3 linked regions of the Rhinolophus ferrumequinum genome follow. The protein of the gene in region 3 purifies or fractionates together with the protein of the main gene of each other region. This does not show direct contact. Links are inferred from orthologs where the notes say so. Each region holds a gene or a part of one and is shown on either strand. Other genes may lie near its edges.

Evidence for each region. Proteins that work in one complex are often made in the same cells at the same time.
Region 1: the proteins of TNRC6B (region 3) and AGO4 purify together in Homo sapiens (co-immunoprecipitation; 3 studies listed by BioGRID and IntAct, with this or other methods). This does not show direct contact. The link is inferred for Rhinolophus ferrumequinum from reciprocal best matches to the Homo sapiens genes TNRC6B and AGO4.
Region 2: the proteins of TNRC6B (region 3) and AGO3 purify together in Homo sapiens (affinity purification with mass spectrometry; 6 studies listed by BioGRID and IntAct, with this or other methods). This does not show direct contact. The link is inferred for Rhinolophus ferrumequinum from reciprocal best matches to the Homo sapiens genes TNRC6B and AGO3.

Annotation. Positions count from the first base shown.
Region 1 is NC_046292.1:24,850,480-24,858,058, reverse strand, and holds the start of AGO4 (protein argonaute-4), read right to left. Parts: upstream 3,430-7,579; 5' UTR 3,233-3,429; coding exon 3,214-3,232; intron 1-3,213.
Region 2 is NC_046292.1:24,945,357-24,953,415, reverse strand, and holds the start of AGO3 (protein argonaute-3), read right to left. Parts: upstream 3,430-8,059; 5' UTR 3,072-3,429; coding exon of another isoform or gene 3,068-3,071; coding exon 3,049-3,067; intron 1-3,048.
Region 3 is NC_046293.1:7,522,718-7,530,441, forward strand, and holds the start of TNRC6B (trinucleotide repeat-containing gene 6B protein), read right to left. Parts: upstream 3,145-7,724; 5' UTR 3,132-3,144; coding exon 3,087-3,131; intron 1-3,086.

The sequences.
Region 1 (7,579 bases), on a different chromosome or scaffold from region 3:
TAGCTGGACCATCAGCTCTAATGCATCCTTTGGAGCAAAAATTAATATAAGACCCGGTCTTATTTTACTATAATATAAGACCGGCTCTTAAATTAATAGTAAAATAAGATCGGGTCTTACAGTAATATAAGACCCGGTCTTACTTTACTATAAGACCGGGTCTTAAATTAATTTTTGCTCCAAAAGACGCATTAGAGCTGATAGTCCGGCTAGGTCTTATTTTCGGGGAAACACAGTAGTTGATGCCAAAGGGACAGAGGCAGAGGAAATGAAAGAAAAGGGGTAAGTAATAGAGAAAAGCAAAAAGCGTGTTTCTTTTCCTTGGCAAGAAAGAAAAGTCAGAAAGTGATTTTCTTTTAATACGTTTAGAAGATTTATTTAGAAAACTAAGTTCTAAAATTTTCCATCCCAAAAGCTGGTTTCTTTGAGTTTAGTAAACTTCTTACAAAGAAATAAAGCACAGTGGCTTAAGCTCTGGAGCCATACTGCCTGGGTTTTAATCCTGGTTTACCATTTCCTAACTGAATGACCTAGGGCCAGTTCCTTAGCCTCTCTGTGCCTCAGTTTTCTTATCTATAAAATGGGGGTATATGGTAATAATAGCATCTATTTCTTAAGGCTATTGTGAGGATCCCATGACATAATGTATATAAAAGGCTTAACACAGTGCCTCGTGATAGTAAGTGCTCAATAGATGTTAGTTAGCTACTATGATTGCATTTGCATAAATGTTATAGTGCTCAAAGATCCCTGGGCTTTATATTGGGGGAATCTCCAAAACTTGGTGACAAAGTCAGAAATTTATACCTTCCAGTCAGAAAAGTATGACTCAACATAGATTGGAAGAAGTTAGCCGTAAATGAAAAGGAGGGCATTAGACTATAAGTCAGAGGACCCAGACTCATCCTCATTTTACCATACAGCCTCAAGACCTTAATGAAATCACTCAAGCTTTCTGCACCCCTTTACTCATCTGTAAAATGGGGATAATACCTGCCTTGCTTACTTCACAGAAGATCAGATGAGCTATGAAAGCACTTTTCAAACTGTAAAGCACGGTAAAAATAAGTTATTGCCAACATAACCAAAATAGATGGTATTCTAATTAAATATAATTCCAATATATTATTGTCAGAAATCAAAATGAGGTAAGGGAGAGCAGAGCAAGACTAAGAATGTTTCAATGATTGTTCAAGTGAGGAGGGCACAAAGTACTAGATCGGTGCGCTTTAACAAAGAAGCAGGAAAGCTTCTCTAGGTTCTAAAACAACCTGTGTGAAATATCCCACAAGACTACCAACTCCCTTTGCTCTGATTCTACGGTTGGCAAGCAGCTTCTTGTTATTAATTGGGTTTCCAAGGTACTGTGACACCAAAAAAGCAGTTTGTTAGAGAGCAGACAAGAAAATATTGCAGTCAACAGAAAACATCTATGTGACATTTTGTTTTATGCATTAGCATCTTATAAATGTGGTGAAAATTAATTTTCCACGGTCCTGGGTGAACTGATAAGTCCTCAAATCTGCAAAAGCTAAAATCAAACCAAAAAGAGTCCTTGGGACATTTCTAACGCTACCAAGTTGATCTTTTCCATGAAATTCAGTTTGTACACACAGTTATATAGTCTCTTTCAATACGAGCTCATAAATGCAACAGTTGCTTCAATTATGAGTTATGAACAGGGGAGGGAGGGAAGAAACATTTGTTGAGTATCTATAATGTATTAGTCTCTACAATAAAACTCACATACACACATACATCATCGCATTTCATTCTCACAACAATCTTGCAGCACATAATGATTATTACCTTCATTTTATAGATGAGGAAATGAAAGTTCAAAGGAATTAAGTAATTTGCCCAAGGTTATACAACTATTAAATTGCTAGATTGGATTTGAATAGAAGTCTGTTACATTCCTAAAGACTTGATCATCCCTTTAGCCAGGGGCCATAGCTGAAGTAACCCAGCATAATACTCACACTGAGGTTTATCAAATCATAGTAGTGTGACAAAACCAATTTATTTTTAAAAGGCATATGAAATTTGATTATGAGGGCCTTTAAAAAAATAGTTTAAGCAGCAAATTAAGGTGGGATTTAATCACTCAGTGAGGTGAACAAGTTGTAAGTAAACAAACCTGCAAAGTTTCCAAACTCAAATGGTAAAGTGAATTTTCTATGCACTAAAGAAAATGCAATGCTCTACCACGAGGTTCCCTACGTAGATAAGATTTGATAGTAAAGTTAATTCTACCACAGCCCATAAACCCTGCCCTACTTAGCTAGGCATTACAAACCTGTTGGGGTTGGAGGTGGGAGCACCAGGCTCCAATCAGCAGGGCACTTGTTACAACCTGGAATGGTTTCTCTGGTTTGGGCAGAGTTGGGGAGATAACCAGAGGTGATTCACAAAGATGGGCAATTACACTTTCCAAAGCACTTTCTCCTTCATTTGATCCTGGAGAACCACTCATAACCCAATTAGAAGAGAACTTAGGGCATTAAAGCCTGTGCTAGCGACGGCTGGCTGGCTGGCTGCTAACTCGCCTGTCACTACGGCGCTAGCCCAGACAACTCTAGGACTGTCACACAGACTGACAGAAGAAAAGGACCATATTCCCCGAGACTTCAGGGCCTTCCAGAAAAGGTGGGTACTTTGCCCCTTGATCTTCGGGGTTCATCAGAAGTGTTTGGGGGAAGTTCTCCTTCCTTATCTGAGGGCCCTGGACCGTCTCCCAGTGCAAAAATAAAAAATAAATTTAAAAACTAGGGCTGAGGCCCCAAATCAAGAATACCCCTGGTAGTAGGTGGGGGACGTTCCCTGTCTGGTCCAGGCCAAGCCTCTACAGCGCACCTGGCACAGATAGTCCCTTCTGAGGCCCAAACTGGCCTCGCCTCAACCCTGGAGCACAGAACACCTCTGTGAGGTTGGGTCCGGTCTCCCCTCTACCTGAGGACGCGGCCACCTTCCTCGGCCTCCCTCTCTTAGACCTTGAGATCTGGCTCTTCTCTCCAGGCTGGGGCGCGGTCCCCGCCCCCGGGTCAGCTCCCTCCGCCTTGTGCAATGGGACACGGGTTCCTTCCCCCGGGCCTGACGGCCGGAACCCGGGTTATGTGCGAGCCGATGGGGGCGACGAGGAGCGACGGTCCCGCCTGCCCACCCACCCGTCCCGGGGCCCGATTCCGACCCCGGCCCGAGCGCGCTCCTCACCGGGTCCCAGCGCCTCCATGGCGGCGGCGGGGGCCGCCTCGCCCCGGTCCCCGGCGCCTCCCGCTCCGGGCCCCGCCGCCGCCGCCGCCGCCGCCGCCGCGTAACGCTTGATCTCCGGAATCTTGGCGCTGGGCGGGGAGGAGCGCCGCGGAGACGCGGGCGCTGGGCAGGGGGCGGCGGCGGCGCCCGGCCCGCGGACAGGGACCCGACTCCCGCGGCTCTTCCGGCCTCAGCGACAACAAAAACAATCCCCGCCGCCGCCGCTGCCAGCGGGAGCGGGAGCTAGCGCGCGCTCCCGGCGGGCGGGGACGGGGCGCAGGGCGCGCGCGGCTCGGGGTACCGGATCGCGGAGGGGGCGTGCGCGGCCCCGGGCGCCGGGTCTACCGAGCCCTGCGAGGGGCAAGGGGCAGGGGTGGGGCTGGTCGGGCGCGCGCCCGGAGGGGGCAGTGCCCCGAGGACGTGTCGGGTGTGCGCGCGCCCGCCCACAGTGCCCTGTCTGCCCAGGGCGGCCATCCCGGACATACGGCTTTTGGGGGGCTATTGCAATCCTCCCAGAGCCTGACACACAGTGCAGCGCCAAAGATCGGGATTCCAGACCCCGCTGAAATGCAGGCACAGTCTCCACTTGTCGGTGGAAAGTGTCCTGAGATTCACATCAGGTACCTGTCCTCCTTCCTCCCACCCCAGACCACTTCTTTCTATTCTGTCAGTCTCCTCTTTCTCCACTGTCCTGGGACAGAGAACATCACAGTCACCACAGCACTTTTCCTTCATTTCTTCATCCAGCACCGCATACCCAGTTGCCCTTCCCTCCACATGCAGCCAGAAAGCACCTTGGGAACGGGCCATGATGAATGAATGATGCGTTCTCTGGCTTGTCCTATGACAAGCAACTCTGGTCAGCAAGTCACCAGTCACTTCAAAAGAAAAAAGTCTTGCTGTCTCGGGTGACTTCACTTTAGCAACCAAGAGCTAAGGGGGCAGCGTCCTTGGCATCATGGTCAGCCTAGCATCCTTGGAGCTTTTAGTTGGGACTTTGAGTTGGAGAACAGACGAGTACAGGCCAAGACGCAGTTGCTAGTCAGCAGAATGAGGGAGCTCTCGGCCCACCAGTTAAAAAGGTACAATGTATATGTATGTGTTGTATTTGCTAGTGCTGCCAGTACAAGGAAAATTTATTTTCTCACAGTTCTGGAGACATCCAAGATCAAGGATTGGTTCCTTCTGAGTTCTTTCTTTGTAGATGACCACCTTCTCCCTGTGTTTTCACATGTGTTTCCCTCTGTACACGTCTGTGTCCACATTTCTTCTTCTTATAATGAATGGCACCAGTCATAATGGATTAGGTCCTACCTTCCAAACTTTGTTTTAACGTATCTCTTTAAAGACCTTACCTCCCAATATAGTCACATTCTACGCTACTGGGGGTTAGGGTTTCAACATACGGATTTTGAGGGGGACACAATTCAGCCCATATGAATGGGCTGTGTAGTGAGATACTGATTTGAGCACCCACAACGTGCAGCCATAGAGCGACATGACTTTGTATGTAATGATAATGTGAGGGGCACACCATGGCCAGACACTGTATAATAGATGTCACGTGTCATGTAATCTTCATAGCCACCTATAAGGTAGATATCATTAAGGAAAGTATCTGTACAGATGAGGAAACCAAAGCTTGAGGAAGCTAAGGAAGTCAGGCTCTGCCTTATATAACACGGCAGTGATGCATGGAAAAATTGGCATTCTAAATCCTGCATTCTAATCCTGCTGAGTCCATCCCTGCCTGGCTATGAATTGGGACTTTTAATTGAGTGACTAGATTCTAGTCTACTGATACCATCCTCCGACTCCTTTCCATAGCACCATGCCACTTCTCTGTTAAACCAGGTATTAACTGGAAACAATATTAGGGGCCTGACAGTTTGAAAGGGAGGAAGTATTCACTAAATGAGCAAACCGGTTTATAGCTAAGAGGATAAGAAAAACCAACCAGAGATCAAGTTCTGAGTTAAACCTTGCATCCACCTCCCTTCTTCTCCACTCCAGGCTAAGTCTTCCAACAATTTAAACAGTGCTGGTAGCTCCCAGCCTGGTTTGAGGTTGACTTTTCCACTCTCACTTCCTAACAAAGTTTCCCCGTATTCTATTTGGTACCCTAAGCAGAGACCATAGCTTGTTTCCTGTACTGAAAATAGCTTCGGAAACCTGAGTAGAAAATGTATTTACTCCATAGTTTCCGTCAGACTGCAATGACTCAGTCCCTCCGTCTCTCACTCCTGTTGTTCTTGACCACTCTGATCACCTACATTCTCATTCGAAAACTCACTCCCACTCAGGAACCACTGTCCTCTTCCTGAAGACCCTTCTGACTGAGCCCTCCCAAACTAAAGTTCTATTGTCAATAAACTCCCCTGAACCTCAGTCTGTTCAGCAAGCCCTCCCTCTACTTCCGGCTGTGGCTGAGAAGCTGTGCCCCAGAATACCACTTCCCCCTCAGCTCTCTCTGATGGTGGCTACTCATTGTTCCACACCTCACACATCTACAGGACAGGGTGAGGGAGGGTAGAGAATTGGCAATATATTTGCCCCGATTGCACCAAACCTTGAGTTCTCAGTGTCATATTAAAACCACTTGCCATCTGGCCAAACCACCACAGGGCCTCTCTTGGTGGTATAATTAACTCAGCTCCTAGTCTTATATCTCAGTCCAGGCCTGGCTCCCATGACATTATAAACCCTTGAGGACAGGGCTATGCCTTGTTCAGGTAGTCAGGTTTGTGTCTCTACTGCCTACCATATTATCTGACACCAAATGCCAATCAGGGAAACTTATGGAATGAATAAGTGAATGCATGAGCAAGTTGTACAAACAGTGGGAGCTAGAAATGGTCCAGTGGAAGTGAAACAATCCAGGCTAGGTGAACTTCCAGCTTCTCCAGAGCACAGACTTTCAAATTAGGTGGTCCTGGGTTCAAATCCCAGTTCCACAACATACTAGTTCTAAGCACCTGGGACAAGTCGCTTCACATACTGCTCAAGGATGTTGTGAGGAGGAAGTTAAATCATATATATGCAAGTTCCTTTGTCTCTGGCACAGAGGAAGTGCCCAATAGTGACTAATTCTCTTCCCTCCTTTTCCACAGCTAAAAGCTGCTCCCCTGCTGCTGCCACGCTGTCCCTTGGGGGGACAGTGAGCTCAAGATCTTAGCTCAGTACAAGAGAGGGAGCAGAGCTGTCAGTGACTGAGCATGTTTACACATCCTGTTCCTGAGCCACCTGGGGGCAGTGACTTGGCTCCTCTTTCTAGGGGTGAGAGCCAGAACATGCTCCATCAAGGTTTATGAATGGAACTGAACTTTTCCAACATGCCAATGCTCTCCTGAGACCAGAGGGAGCCAGAGAGAGCCTTGCTAGTGGACACTGCCAGAAGGCAGGGCTCCAGCCCCGCACGCTGCTTTTGACACTAAAATGCTTGTCTGGGCTGCTGGTCTCTGCCGGTGTTTGACTCCTCAGCTTCTCCTCATACTAACTTTCCACAAGTCTGGAACTTAGAAGTCGAGAAAGAGCTTCTTTACAGTTGATCAATTGGGCCAGGGGCTTCCACTCTTGTTTAGCTGGGGAACCCATTATTGAAACAAGAATCTTAGGTGGGAACTGAAGTGGAGCCCCTTCTGGCTGAGGAGGACCGGGACTTTCATTGGGGACAGGAACTCAGTCACTTGGCATCCAGATGGAATTTCTGCCCGTCTGCTCGTACTCCATTGGCAGCCTTGCCATTTTGCATTTTTTAATTGAGAAATAATTCACATACGATAAAATTCACCCTTTTAAAATATAAAATTCAGTGGTTTTTAGTGTATTCATAAGGTTGTGCAATAATCACTACTATCTAATTCCAGAACCTTTTCATCTCTCCAAATAGAAACCCTGTACCTGTTAGTAGTCATTCTCCATTCCTTCCTCCCCCCAGCCCCTGGTAACCACTAATTTACTTTCTGCATCTGGACTTGCCTGTTCTGAACATCTCAGATACATGGAATCACACAATATATGGCCTTTTGTCTCTAGTTTCTTTCACTTAGCATAATGATTTCAAGGTTCATCCATGTTGTAGCAGGTAGCAGTATTTCATTCCTTTTTTATGGCTGAATAATATTCTATTGTATGTATACATCATATATTGTTTATCCATTCGTCAGATGATGGACATTGGGTTGTTACCACGTTTTGGCTGTAATTCTGCTGCTTTGAACATTCATGTTCAAGTTCTTTTGTGGACATCAGTTTTCAATTCTTTTGGGTTTATACCTAGGAGTAGATATTCAGTGTTATATGTTAATTCTGTTTAACTTTTTGAGAA
Region 2 (8,059 bases), on a different chromosome or scaffold from region 3:
ATAATTTTTAAAAGTCTTCATGGTGTTAACTGAATTATATTTGAGGGTTACATGTATGTTCTTTTTTTCCTTTTAAGTCTGTTTAGAAGAAACAAGTTATTTCTTGCTTCCTTTTTCATTTTCCCTCAGGGTATTCCATCACTGTCAGAGAGATTAAATTCTAAAACAAAAATCAAAATAATTTTGCACATTTTTATAAGTCCCACTGCCAGGCAAAAGCAGCAAATACTAGGGGAAATAATGTAATGGCCACTCCAAAGCAGCACAAGCTAAAATTTAAGTGACAACCAAGTAGAAAAACATTTTCCATGTTCAAAATTAATGCCCTCCAGACAGAGCAGCAGTTTGACTTTTTTTTCCAAGACAAAAAAAATGCAAGTGAAAAAATTTATATCATAAAAACATTCTCCAAAGTGATTAAAGATTGTTTAAGTATTCAACTGAGAACCTAATGGCCTTATATTTGTTTTAGTATTTTGAACCCACTTTTTTCTACCTCATTTAAATCTAGCTTCCATACATGAAATTTTTGTTCTTTTGGAACTTGTTCTCAAATGACTTTTCTTGATATTTATTGTTCAAGAATGCAGAGTATCCAAACACAAAGTATAACTAAGACAGAAACATAGTCTATTCACTTTTGCAACATTGTATAAGACAACTACCAAACCTGTCAAATCTATTTGCACAGTAATGTAAGGTAAATGTTTTTCTTCCATTGGAAGGTAGGTACAATTCTGTCTGCCCTAAACAGTAGTCTGACTTTACCTAAAAATACAGACTAGAATAGTTAAGGTCCTAAAAAATAGCTACTCTGGAGAAGTGATATCTCAATGAACATTTCTGCTTCCTCTATTCCCGCTCTATTTGGAACTAAAACATAACATATACTTTTAGCCCAGCTGTAATTAAACCATAAAAAATAGGGTTTCAGCAGAAGTTCCTCTAAGGAGTCATAAGCACAGATGCTACACTGTTATTATTTACAAACCAATTGTGGCAGCTTTTTGGGTTAAATCAAAGTTCACACAGCACTAGATCAGTAGATTGAACAGGACACCCTTAAAAATCACTTAAAATATTTCATGCAAAAGGGAAGAACAGATAAATAACTTTTAGTGAGGGATGATTCACCAAGAAACTACAGTATTTGTATTCAAAGTCCTCTAATATAAATAAATTTAAGTTTTCTATGTATCCACCTAAGGACTAGATTTTAAAATATCCTGTCATAAGATGATTTCTAAGAATCTCCACACAAAAGAAAAACTTGGAACAGAATTGGAGAGCCAAGATCCAACACTGACTTAATAGCCTAGTAGAGAACATTTACATCTAAAATTTTTAAACCAGAGTATGTACTTGTCAAATTCTTTATTTAAAACTTAGTTGCACATTTTTCCCAACAATGCTTTCAATTTCATGTGTAATTTAACAATTGCATATAAGTTTCAGGAAAAACGAAAACTTTGTTTTTAATGATGACAAACTTGAGCTAAATTGTACTTTATCTTCCTTATTAGATTAGAGTCACTTATGTATAAACTACACTGAATAATAAACTGCATTTCAAGATGTCCAATTCTTAGCTCAAGAATTCACAGGAGCGTTTACTGAATCATACTTGGCTAGCTGGATCAGTTGGTTAGGTGGTTTGACTTCGGAAGAATTTTCTAAGATGTCTATATATTTGGGCATAATTTCATGTAAAAAAACCAAAGAAGACAAAGGAAAAAAAGCTTCAAAATTTTTTTTTGACATATCTTTAAAAGTTTTAGAATGATTAATAAAGTGTTTAACTTTCATGTTTTGTTTTCCAGGCTTGACAACAGGACAGTTATATAAAAATCACCTATAACCCCAAATCATCACATTCCGTAAAGAGTATAGTAGAAAGTTAAAAATTCCATATAATAAAACTTGTAATAAACCTCTCACCCTGTCGCAACCTCTATAATTTGAGTGCTTCTGCATCTACTTGAAAATTATACTCCTTAACCTAATTAACAAATTCTTTATCATTATGTCACTGGTTTCTTTTACATAAGTTTTTCTTATCTCATATTCAGATATCTCCCAAACTAGCAAACTATGATGTGAAATTCAGGGACTTGGGATACCATTAGTCACAATACGCCCACCACCACCACCAATATTTTGAAAATTAATTTATAAATCTGTGACTGGATGAAACATACTTTCAAATTTAACACACCAAGTATGAATGCTCCTTTGGAAAACAAGCCGTTATGTAACATCTACTTTATGTCCCTCAATTAATTACTTTAGAACCATAGTGCTCTTTTTCCTTTCAAATAAGTACTGTCCAAGTTGCGATTTTTTTCTCAAGGCTACCCTTTTACAAGGAGAGAAAGTTTTCTTCATTCCAAATTTCCAGGAATATGACAACCGAACCTCTAGGGAATAGAGAATGAAAGAATATACTGTCAGCAATTTTAAGATCCACCTCCTCACATAAGCAGAGATCCAGGCTGATATGACATTTCCAAGATCCTCAGGAACTACATAACACGCTGCTACAAACATCAGAAGAGAACTCGGGGATGGGAGAAATGTCATCTTGCATTTGACGTTGCACTAAAACCTATTTCAAACTTAATCCTCATCTGTTATCTCACAGTTATCTTCACAACTACCTTCAGAGGTAAGAAAGGGAGAGAGCTACCTGCCCAGCGCCTCTACGGGACACACAACCCAGTTAAAAGGACACGCACACCGTTACACCTCCAACCGGAATAACAAAAGCGATGGCAAACCCTTCTAGACCCCAGGAAAAGAAGAGCACTATCGACTAGAGAACCCCAAACTTCAATCCTCTCAGCAGTGTCCCCTCCCCGCCGGGTCGCCAATTCAGTGGCTCCCGGGAACTGCGGCGGGGCTGCGGGAAGGCGGAGGAGGGGCCGAGCGGGGGTCGGCGAGGGGGAGCCGCCCGGACGGCGCTCACCTCGCGCGACGGGGCCGAGGCTGAGGGAGCGACGATGCTCTGGGGACACCCCCACCGACCGGGCCAGCATGGGACACACTCACCTGCGGAGCCGATTTCCATTCATGGAGCTGGGGGGAGTGCTTCCAGCGAGAAGGGCGCCCGCCACTGGGGGGCAAGGAGGCGGCGAAGGGGGCGACGCGGCGCGACAGGCACTCTCACTCGGCCCCGAGGCGGGGTGGCGACCGCTTCCTCTCAGCGAGCGCGCTCCGAAAGCTCTCGTCAGGAAGAGCCGCCGTCGGGAGGCAGCACGCCACTAGGCGAGAGGAAGGAGAAGCGTGAGGCGAGGAGAGGGGAGCGCGGTGCGGAACTTGCGTCGCCCGCGGCCGCTGACGCTCGGGCTGCCCCTCCACGACTGCGGCGCCGCGGCCGACCTCCCCCGGGGCCGTCCCCGGAAGCCCGCTGGCGTCAGTTCCGCTGCCCCGGCTCGCCGGACGTCCAAGCCTCGCCTCTCCGTCCCAAGCCGTGCGGGCGCGACGTCGGTGCGGACGCGGCCGGCGCGGGGGACGCAGGGGAGGTGTGGGGAGAGGGCGACTAGCGTGGGCGGAGCTTGGGGCACGCGCAGCGGGGCGGGGCGGAGCCTCCGCTGGGCTGTGCCGGCTGGAGACGACCCGGCGGGGCTGGGCTCCTCGGGCCACCCTGGTGCGGAGCCCTGCCTGCCTGCGACGTCGCGGAGGGCGGTGTCGCTTACCTGGGGAGGAGCTACCTGGAGCGAGGCTGGTCAAGGTGCAGGGCCACCCTCCTTCCCGAGCCTCTCCCTCCACGCCCAGTTGGGGCGACCCCACGCGCCTCCTCCTCAACTAGTTGGTCAAGTAACCACTACAGTGGATCACTCCAAGTCCGCAGGGTTTCTTTGACGACGATTTGGGGGGTAAAATGTACAATTTAGCTTGGGAGAAGATTAAGAACCAGGACATTACACAAACATCAGATCGAATAATTTCCATGTTTAAAACTCTTTAATAGTGTCTCGTCACACTAAGACCCAAACTCCTCTCCAGGGCCCAAACGCACTGTGTGACGGGGGCCCAGCTTTTCTCTTCAAGCAAGACTTCACTATGCTACAGCTATGCTGGTCTAACTCCCCCAACGGGCAAAGCGCTTCTTTTTGCTATTGGGAGTCTCTCAGCTTTCAGTTCCCTCGGCAAGGAACCCTCTTCTTTCTCTCCACCCCGCCCCTCCTTTTTACACCTCAATTTAAGACTTAGGCTTTTTCGGCTATGGGAGGGCACCCGTTTTTCTATTACAGTATTTCCTTAATAATCCTGTTCTAATCTGTAATTTGTTTTTACTAGTTTATTGTGTGCCCCCTCTACCAATAGTATGTAAGATTAGGTTACTAGGACAAGCACATTAACTGGCAAATAGTAGGTCCTTAATATTTGTTTCCTTTAATGAAAGGTGATACTATTTTACTCAGGCTGAATGATTCATGACTTTTCCCTATGTTCCTAACCATCAGTAGTAATGTTGTTTAGACTTTAAAAAATCAAAGTACATTCTTTTTTTAAAAGCTGGGACAAAGAGGAAAAGGAGAGAAAGTATCCTATCTTAAATCATCCCCTTCCCCCCCCTTCAATCACTGGGACTTTGGATCAATCACTTGAGCCTCCTGGCTTCAGGTTCCTCTTCTGAAAACTGGAGAGAATATGTACCTTATAGTAGTTGTGAGATTAGGGAATGTGCATAAAGCACAGAAAACCCTCCCTAAATGTTAGTGAATAAAAAAGTATTTACTGTATTTACCATTTTAAAGCACTTACTAGATACACATACTGTAAACACTTCATAAATGGGTGGGATTCAAACCCACATCTGATACCACTTCTTTCTCTCTTTTTCCTTCCCATCCATAACCCATTTACTGAAAATGCCCTCCCCAATTTTAAAATATCAAATTAAATGTCACCAGATGAAACACTGTATCTTCAAAGTTATTTTCAATCCTTGACTAGACAAATCCAAATCTATAGCAGCATCTGACAGGGTAAATACCAACTGTTGTGCAAAGGTCTAGCACACCTTCAACCCCCAATTCTAGAACTGGTTCCTCAAGTGACTGCAGGCTTCTTCGGCATCTCCCAGAATAAACATGTTGACGGTGATGAACCCTGGAGGTGGGCCACTGTCTTCTTTGCTGACATTGATGAAGCAGGATTTGGACTTTCTAATTAGATCCAGTTTAATAAATGTCAATGATGCCTTCCCACCTACTTCTGCTATCCAGGGACCCCCACCTCTTCAGAACAGGCCCAAGTGAAAGGTTCATGAATTATAGTATCAGGAAGTGGGAAGGCAAAAAACGTTTGAATGATTCTGCCAAAAGCAAAGTTGTATGAGGCTTTCCCCTGACCACGTGCACACACTAGTTTTGAATACCCTCATTCCCAAAGGAGTCTGTTCTTAAGGGCATAGAACAGTGCCATTGTGCATCTTGTTAACTGTCATAGCCCGTGCCTACAACAGTGCCAGTGCCTGGCACATATCGACATTCTGTAAATACTTGTGGGATGCATGAATAAATGAGTGGGCTTCAAGAATGGGGCTCAGGAAGCAGGCTAAAACTCTGCCCTCATCTGACGTGGCACTGGTTGCTCTCAGAAGGGAGAACTACAAAATAGAGAAATCTCAGGGGAAAGGAAATCAATGCTTGCTGAAAGGTGCATCCCTAGGCTTTCTGTGCTACACACATCATTTCTGGATGAGAACAACTGGAGAGAATCCTCTCCTCTCCCATGAGCTGTAGTGGACTTGACACTTGGGTTCAAATCTCTTCTCCTAGACCAGTTTTTAAACAGCAGAAAGCTAGAGTTGACCCCTGAACAACACGGAGGTTAGGGGTGCTGACTCCCAGGGAGTTGAGAACCTATGTATGACTTTTAGCTCCTCAAAAACTTAACTAGAGATATCCTTCAGGACCTGGAGTGATTGGCTCCAGGACCCTGTGGACACCAAAATCCAAGGATGCGCAAGTCCCTTATATAAAATGGTGTAGAACATGTAGTGTGCTTTCCACATCCATGGACTCTGAACCAGGGACTGAAAATACTGTTTTTGGTCCACAGCTGGTTGGATCCACGGACGTAAAACCTGGGGGGATACACAGGGCCGACTGTATATGTATTGAAAAAAATCCGCACATAAGTGGACCTACAAAGTTCAAACCTGTGTTGTTCAAGGGTCTGCTGTACTTTGTACTGCAGCAGGACACAGTATAAAACATACTGGCTTTAGGGACACTCAGAGCTGAGACTGCAGGCCCTCTGCTACTATCTGTGATCCTAGGAAAGTCACTCTGAGCCTCATATTCCTCCTCTGTAAAAACCAGAGGACTTGAGTAGAGCAGACACTGCTGGATACCTACCCAACAGCCCTTCTTTCTTGTCTAACAGACATGATTTGCCTTTCTTTCTAAGCCACACAAGTTAGAGGTAACTCCTAATTAAGCCACTCATGATGGATGATCTTATTTGCTTTGCCAATGACAGGAGTGGGAAGATGACCCAGTTCTAGCAAATGAGACATTATGCCAGATCAGCTGGGGCTTCCAAGGATTTTCTTACTTTACATGAAACATTGGAAAAACTTAGTCCCTCTTCTGCAAGACACTGTTTTGTCCGCATTTCCTTCCTGGAATTATGGAAGCCATCTGGGACCCTTAGGTGAACTAGCATGAGGGTAAACCAACATAGAGGATAGCAGAACAAAAAGACTGCAAGAACCTGGTTTGTTGGTTTTATCATTGAGCCACTGAATTAATCAACCTTGGGGCCATATTAAATCCGGACATCTTGTCATGTACTAGTTTCCTTATTTAAGCCAACTTAATGGGAGTTTTGTTATATGCAACTGAAGGTAATTGATAAATCACTCCACATGAATGCTGTGCTGATGCAATTAAATAAGATAAACAGATACTGTACAAAACACCTAGCCAAATACTTCAAAGTTCCCAAGCCTCCTTTTTCAGTTCACTTCCATTAACAATCCATAAGCTTTTTCAAAAAAACTGGCTGGGATCTCCTACTGCCTCCTTTAAGAAAGTTACTTGCCTTCAATAGGTGGGGACGAGGGATGGAGGGCTCCTTAGAAAGGTCCCTCAGATTTCTGTCCCAAAAGGACACCGCCAAGAAGATAGTGGTGAAGCTGCTGCAGTCCAGAGCAGAGGACAATGTGTTCCTGCAGGGCAAGCCACGCTGGCCTAAAAAACCTCGATATGGCATCCTGGGGAAGATAGTCATGGTGCTCAAGTGAAGAACTTCTAAAATGTACCTTGTCCCCAGCAAGTCCACTTTTCCAGCTACTCCTTGACATAGCTGCTTTACAGGAGTGCCTCTCTCATGCTCTGCATTTCTAAGCTTGCCAGGTTTCCTCAGCTGATAGCCAGAGGAATAAATGTCTTGAAAGCTAGAAACAGGGAGAGCTATTTGCGACAATTCAATGCGACTTGCCATTCAAACAGTACATGCAACAGTCTGGAAATTGCCCAGACTCAGAACTTGAAAATAGTCTTCTCTTTGTACTGTAACCCTTTCCTTTAGCCCTCAAACCCTAACTGCCACGAGATTCGGGGTCTGCTAAGCCAAGAGATATCCAACAAATACCCACTCTCACTCTGCTCCAAGCCACTTGCTAGATAAAAACGTGCTACAATACATGTTGCTGAATGACAGGGCAGAGGGAAGGCTGCCCCACCAATACTGCAAAGGGATATCCAGGGTGCTAGGACAACCCTTAACTTAATACCTTAGGCTCCAGGACCAGACAAATCAGGCCTTGGGCTCCCATCATCTTTTTCTCTTGAGCAGCAACCAACAGGCAAATCGTGAAACCTTTTTTAACATCAATCATTAATAAAATTGAAATGTATGGCAAAAGAAAAAAAGGGCCGTAATGATCATCCTCCTCCTTGCTCTGCTAACTACTTCTGCTTTACTAAGGGTCATAAATTTATTTTAAGTCTTATTTCAATTGGGAAAAATCTCCCCCATGTTCCAATTTGCATTTAAAGTACAACCAAGCCCACTCACCCTCACTTCTAAAAAGGAGCATGCA
Region 3 (7,724 bases):
TGCCCAAACTGACAGGGAGCATGTTTAGTCCGTTTACCTGACAGAAGGGGCAAAATTCGTTACTTTTGCTACCTCTTAGACCATTTCTTTCCAGTCCCTTTTGATGGACAGTCTTCCTCTGCTTGTCCTTTCATTACTGGTATGTTCCTCAAGAGTTCATCCTCCCCTTTCTCCATTTATTAGATATACATGTCCTTATCCTCTCCTATAGATTTAACTACTACCTGTATCTTGATGACTCCCAAATCTCTCCCCAGTGTTGACCTTTCCTACAATCTTCAAGGCCATCTATCTATACAACTGCCTTTGTATGGGGACATACGAATGTCAGGGGACTTCTCCACCTCATGTCCCACGGGTCCCCATAACATAACTAAAACTAAAATAACCTTCCCCCAAACTGTATCCTCCTTCTGTCTCACTTGGAAATATTATACTATCATCTCACTCAAAGAAAAATCTGGGGACCGGCCCGGTGGCTCAGGCAGTTAGAGCTCCATGCTCCTAACTCTGAAGACTGCCGGTTCGATTCCCACATGGGCCAGTGGGCTCTCGACCACAAGGTTGCCGGTTCGATTCCTCGAGTCCCACAAGGGATGGTGGGCTCCGCCCCCTGCAACTAAGATTGAACAGGGCACCTTGAGCTGAGCTGCCGCTGAGCTCCCGGATGGCTCCGTTGGTTGGAGCGTGGCCTCTCAACCACAAGGTTGCCGGTTCGACTCCTTCCAGCAGGATGGTGGGCTGCGCCCCCTGCAACTAGCAACTGGCAACTGGACCTGGAGCTGAGCTGCGCCCTCCACAACTAAGATTGAAAGGACAACAACTTGACTTGGAAAAAAAAAAAAAAAAGTCCTGGAAGTACACACTGTTCCCCAATAAAAGTCCTGTTCCCCTTCCCCAATAAAATCTTTAAAAAAAAAAAAAAGAAAAGAAAAATCTGGGACCATGACCAGCATCATCTTCTCACCAAACTCTATCAATTCTAATCCCCACATATTTCCGTGTGTATTTTCTTCCCCGTTCCTACTGCCATGGCCTTAGTTTTGCAATAGTTTCTCATCAGATTTATTCCAACTGTTTTTTAAATTGTTTTCTTACCCTCAAGACCAACCCCACCTCCGCTGCCATGAGAATCACCTTTACAAAGTGCAAACCCACACTGCCCTTGCAATGTCTCTCATCCATCTTCGAGAGAAAGTCCCATTCCCACTGTGTGGTCTACAAGGCCCCGTACCAGTTCACCTCTCGGCTTCATCTCACAAAACCACACTGCTGTCAGTGTCCCTTAAGCACCGCATGGTTTCACGTGCCTCTGACCCTGTACATGCCATTTCCACCTGGACTGTCTTCCCACTCACAAGGCAAATTCTTTTTCAACCTTCAAGATGCAGGCATAGAGAAACCTTTTCTAGGAAGTCTTTCTTGATTCCTCTCTCTTGCTACAGGATGGGTCCTTCCTCTGAGTTAGCAACTGTGCTTGGCACATATTTCCACGAGGCTTGTGTACGCTGTGTATACTACTAGGTTATTAGCTTCCTGAAGACAGGCTCTGAGCCTGATTTATCACTGTATCACCATCATTTAAAACAGTGCTAGTGCAAAGGACATCCCCATAAACTCTTATGGAATAAAAACACACTTTGGGGGAAAAAATAAAGTAAACTCAATGCAATAGTCTTGGTTTATTCAAATAAGGACACTGCTTATAAGTTATAACTGTATGTCCAGGGCTACAGTACAGACTCCATTCATTCATTCATTCATTCATTCATTCATTCATTCATTCAGTGAATGAGCCACCTACCAGGTACCATGCTCTGTTCTAGAACACCATGGTAAAGTAATGCCAGGATCTCAGGCCAGTGTGGTATTTGCGTGAGACCCTCAGACTTCCAGGGAGAGCCTGTGCGCAAACTTTGGAACTAATAGCAGGATCCTGGCATAAAGATGTTAAATTTATTTTTACATCTTCTTAGCAAGGGTTGCCTGAGAAAAACAAACTCAGTCTGAAGCGGGGTGAAGACAAAGGCAAGTGCCTCACCTTCAGCTACTAACCCAGTTTGGTCAATTAATTAATGCTCTCTAGCTTAGTCCAGGACAATTTGCCAATTCTTTACCAGAAAGGCACGCTACCTTCTGAAGACTAAACCAACTGCTAGTCACTTGGCGGTAGGGGCGGGGATGGCAGGGACTAGCCGTAATAAGAAGGGCAGAAGCAGCTACTCAACAGCTTTGCTGAACGCTTACTAAGCGCCCAGCACTACGCTCGGCCTATGGCCATCAACAAGAGCCTGTGGCCAGGTTTTACTGCCATTGTTGGACACATAAAAATTAAATAGATTAACACGCTCAGCTTTTATAGCCAATTATTGATGATCTATGATCAAAAACCCTTTATTCTTTTTCCATATTGTATATTAATTTAATGAGTTTTTTTTAATCAAATAGCTATTTCTACTAAGGTTCACAAAATTTTAACTGCGTCTCGGTTCTACAATAAACCAGTGAGTTTGGGAAATTTTAATATTGATATTGAAAATAATAATACGAATAACCATTACCAACTGTTTATGCTGTGCTCAGCAGTATATATCATGAACGTCTCAAAAACCTCTCACTTAAGATATCCCTGTCCTCAGAGGTCTTACACTACTGATAAGGAGGAGAAAACTAGCACGCCAAACAATTCCACAAAAACCAAGCATGAAGCTGTGCGGCACAGAAATTTAGAGAACACAGAGAAAAAGTGGGCTAGACAAGCTATGCAGCCCTCAGAGAGAAACTGGGATTCCAACTGGAACTGACAGCGGTTAACGCAATGATTCTCAAACTTTTTGGTCTCAGGACTGCTTCAGAATTTTAAAAATTACTGAGAACCCCAAAGAGCTTTTGTTCATGTGGATTAATTGTCAGTATTTACCACATTAAAAATTAAACTATGAAAATTTAAAAATATTTATTCGTAACTATTCATTTAAAAATATTAAACAATTACATGTTAAACATTTTTAAATTAAAAATATTTTAAAGGATAAAAATTTTGAGAAAAGTGCCACTGTTTACATTTTTGCAGATATCTTTACTACCTGGCTTAAGAGACAACAGCTGGCCCCTAGGATCTGCTTCTGCATTCAATCCTTTGCGTCTCACATGTCACGTAGCCTCTGGAAAACTCCACTGCACAATCATGAGAGAATGAGTTAAAAGGCTTATCATCTTAGTACTAATAAAACAGTTGTGACTTCACACACCCCCTGAAAGGGTCTGGATTGGGGAACGGGGAGGGATCCCCAGACCAAATTTTGGCTAATTATTAATTTTAAAAGAGAAAGAAAATGGGTTCTGTGATCTAATAAGCAAGGGCTGGGCAGGAAGGAAGTGTGTGGTTCGAAAGCCATTAACTTCCACGTACGCAACTCTTACTCCTAACATTTTGGAGCTACAATCTAGCTCACCTCCATTGTGAATCTCAGAGAGACAAACGGCAGGGCAAGGTGGGGTTCTGGTGACAGCGGGACAAGGAGCCTCTCCCTCAGCAAGTCCCCCAGCAACATTCCCTGAAGGCCACGTCAGGGTTTCCTCTGTGGCGCCTACACTGTGCTCTCCTCCTAGAAGCTGTAAATGGCTCACGAGAAACTGCCTCGCATGGCTTCCCGAGGCTGTGTTTACTGAGTGAAAAATCATCTCACTGCTACCAGCTCCAATACGGGAGACATTTCTTGGTCTGGCTGTCGTAAAAAGCAGATTTAACATCAGCCACGTAGCCAGGTTTTTCCTGCCAATAATCATGGGAGTCTGCTCCCCCGTTCCCGGGCATCTTGTGCACTTGTAAAAACAGTTCCTGCAGCTTCATATGTCACGGATCTAGTTGCCATAAAATGAAAACATTTTCTTCATATTTTGTGGCACAAACTAAAAGCATTCTGGATGTGGTTTGCATACAGTCCATCTCTGGCCAAAAGGGAGGTTTAATTATGTGGACAGACAGAGAAAGGGAGGTGGCTATACCCATGGTTAAACTGTTTTTATCATCAAAGTCAATGTTTGATAATGGATGTTTTTAATTTAAAATTTTACCATGATTAATTCTCTAAAATTAATATGCAATAAGCACAATTGTTCATTTTATGCAGCAAGTTTTCACTTGTCTTAACAATATTTTATAGTTGAGAAAAGCAGATGAAACAGAAGCTTCTTTTTTGATCTCTTAAATTAAAAAAAAACAGAAAAAAGCATGACTCTATATAGTTTTTCAGTTGTTTTTTTTTTGTTTTTTGTAGTAAACATATTTATTAAGGCCCCTTTACAGAACAGACCATTCTGAAGTCAAAGTGAAACTAAAACTCTGAAAGATTTCTGCTCTGGGAATGGTAAACTAGGTAATTCAGACCAACTAATGCTGAGGACAATCAGAAAATCTGGACAAAATGTAAAAAGTATTTTGAAGGCAGAGGAGTACTAACAAGTTAATTAGGAATTAACATATACAAAAATCAATTTCAGGTGAACTACACACCCAAATGTGAAAGATAAATAATAAAGCTTTTTGAAGATAACACAGGAGTAGGGAGGGCTCTCTTACACAGGACACAAAAAGTACCTATTACTAAAAAATAAATATGACTATATGAAAATTCAGAATTTTTGTTCATCAAAAGACATAAGAAAGTGAGAAAGTAGAACACATAAAACCAATAAAGGGCTCATATTCGAAATAACAGAGAGTTCTAAAAGTTAAAAACAAAAGACATAACTCAATAGGAAAATGGGGAAGAGATTAGATGAGGCACATTACCAAACAAACAAACAAACAAAAAAACTACACAATCTAAATGGCCAATAAACATCCGAAAAAATGTCAAGCCTCAATAGTAAGTGAGAAAGTACAAAAGAAAATACAAAAGAAAATCATGATGATGCCAGAATAGCTACAAATTTTAGCTGACATGGTAGTCTGCTACCATGTTTCCCTGAAAATAAGACCAGGTCTTACATTAATTTTTGTTACAAAAGATGCATTAGGGCGTATTTTCAGGGGACGTCTTAGTTTTTCAGATACAACAGTCTACATTTATCCAAATACAGTCACGTCATCTTCTTCTGGAACATCGTCAGAACATACTAAATGCATCCATCTGGCTGACAATCTTAACTGGGGCTTATTTTTGAGGTAGGTCTTATTTTCAGGGAAACACGGTAATAACAAATATTGCTGAGGATACGGAACAGAAGGAACTCTGATACTCCACTTGTGTGAGTGTGAGTTGTTATATCCACTTTGGAATACAGTTTGGCATTATTCTTCTAAAGTTAAAGACAAACACACTTCATGATCCAGCAATGACACTCCCAGCTTTATACCCTGCAGAATTCATGGACATGTGCACCAAAAGACATGTATAAAAATATTCAGAGCAGCACCATTCACAATAGTTTCTAACTGGGAACAACCCAAGTATTCTCAATAGTGAAACAGATAAATATGCATTCTGGCATATTCATAAAATGGAATACCATACAGCACCGAAAATGAAGCAGCAGCCCACAACAACATGGGTGAATCTCGCAAACATAATGACCAGATACAAAAAAATTCATAGCATGTGACTCTGTGTTCAGAATCAGCCCGAACTATAATGTTTAGAGGTACACATGAGTAGTAAAAGTAGAAAGAAAAGAAAGAAATCAGAAGAGCAGTTACTTGTAGGTGGGAAGGCAGGGGTAATGACTAGCAAAGGTCACTAAAAAGGGGCTACAGTGTCCCAGCAATGTCCTATTTCTTGACCTGAGAGGTAGTTTTTTAAAACGATTCATTAAGTTTTACATTTGCATTTTATGTACTTTTCTGGTTCTGTGATATATTTCACAATAAAGAAGAATGAAAGCAAGAAAAAGAAAATAATTACTAAGAAAACTGGTATCTTTGGTATAACATTAAAAATGAGATCACAGGACCAAGCTCCTTAGACGGCATCTGGCCCTTCATTGTCCAGTCCGATCTTTCTAGTCTCATCTCTTGCCACCCACCATTCTTCACAAGTAGTCTGCCATACTTGCTCTCAACCTGTGCTTCCTTTTTACCTTAACTCATGATATTTCTCTGTCTAAAAAACCATGTAGACATATCCCAATCTCCTGCCAGACTAAGTACAAACTGTCACTCAAGACACAGGCTGGATGTCATCTCCTGTGAGAAACTTCTTCAGGAGACACAGAGTCTAGAGGCACATTGCTTGGTTCAAATTCCAGACCTGCCATTTACTGGTAAGGTGACCTTGGTCAACTTACCAACCTTAGTTTTGTAACTTCTTCATCTGTAAAATAGGATAAAAATATGACCTGCCTCACTGGGTGGTTGTGAAGATGAAATGGAGAAGTGTATGCAAAGTGCTCGGAACATGCCTGGGAGAGAGTAAGCACTAGGCATTAGCTATTATTACTAACTAGGTGTTAGCTAATATTATTATCAATAACACACTGGTAATGTCCTGCCTACCCCCACAGCCCCTCCCCCATACCTACTCTTGCTCTGGGTTCCCACGGCTCCGTAACATAGGGTATGTGCTTGTATACAGCTCTTACGGATAACTTCTGGAGAGTTAAATCTTTCACATCTCAACCCCCATCATCCATCATAGAGCCGGGCACGTACTAGGTGCTCCATGAGTATCTGTGCATGAATAAACTACAGAGACTCCAGATGTGGGTCTGTATCACATAGAAGAGTAGTCCCTGATGTTGCCCTATCCTGTGTGTACCGTAGACCACAAACTGGACGTACAGTCTGGATGAGGCTCCTGCAGCAATGACCTCAGAATATAGGTGGAGACTCCCTCTGAGAACAACAGATGAGGGACAAATAATAGTACTTGTCCTACCTACAGTTGTGAGACTATTGTGTGAGGCTCGAATAATGACTATGAAAATATATTGTTAAGTGTGAATCTTTACTATATGAGGTTTCATTACCTTAAAAACACCAGGATTATTGTTGAATTGCAAGTCTGTAAAGGCCTTTAAGGGACCATAAAGAATTAATATAATGTAAAAATGCAATCTGATATGGTCTAAGATAAAATTTTAACTTGGGGGTTAAAATATTTTGCAATGAAATTTCCCGATTTTCTCATTTGGTTATTAATTATTTATGTAATATTAAAACAAACATTTGTGTATGTGAATATTCACAGCAGCAATTATTCATAATAGCCCGAAGTGGAAACAATCCAAATGTCCATCAACTGGTGAATAGATAACCAAAACCATGGTACATCCACCTACTAGAAAACTACTCAGCAATAAAAAGGGAAGAACTACTGGTACATACTATGACATAGATGAAACTCAGAATCATTATGCTCATTGAAAAGAAACCATCCCCAAAAGGCCATATATTGTATGACTCTGTTTACATGAAATGTTCAGAAAAGGCAAATCTATACAGACAGAAAGTAAATTAGTGGTTATCTGGGCATGAGAGTGGGAATGAAGACTCACAGCAAATACGCATAAAGGGTCTCTTTGGGATGATGGAAATGTCCTAAAATTGGGTTGTGATGATGATTAAACAACTATGCAAATTTACTAAAAATGTTTTAATTGTATACCAAGAATGGGTGAATTTTATGGTATGCAAATTACACCTCAATAAAGTTGTTTTTTAAAAACAAATATTTGGCATCCTTTTACAGCCAGCTATGTAACTCCCACATCTTTAAAATTTC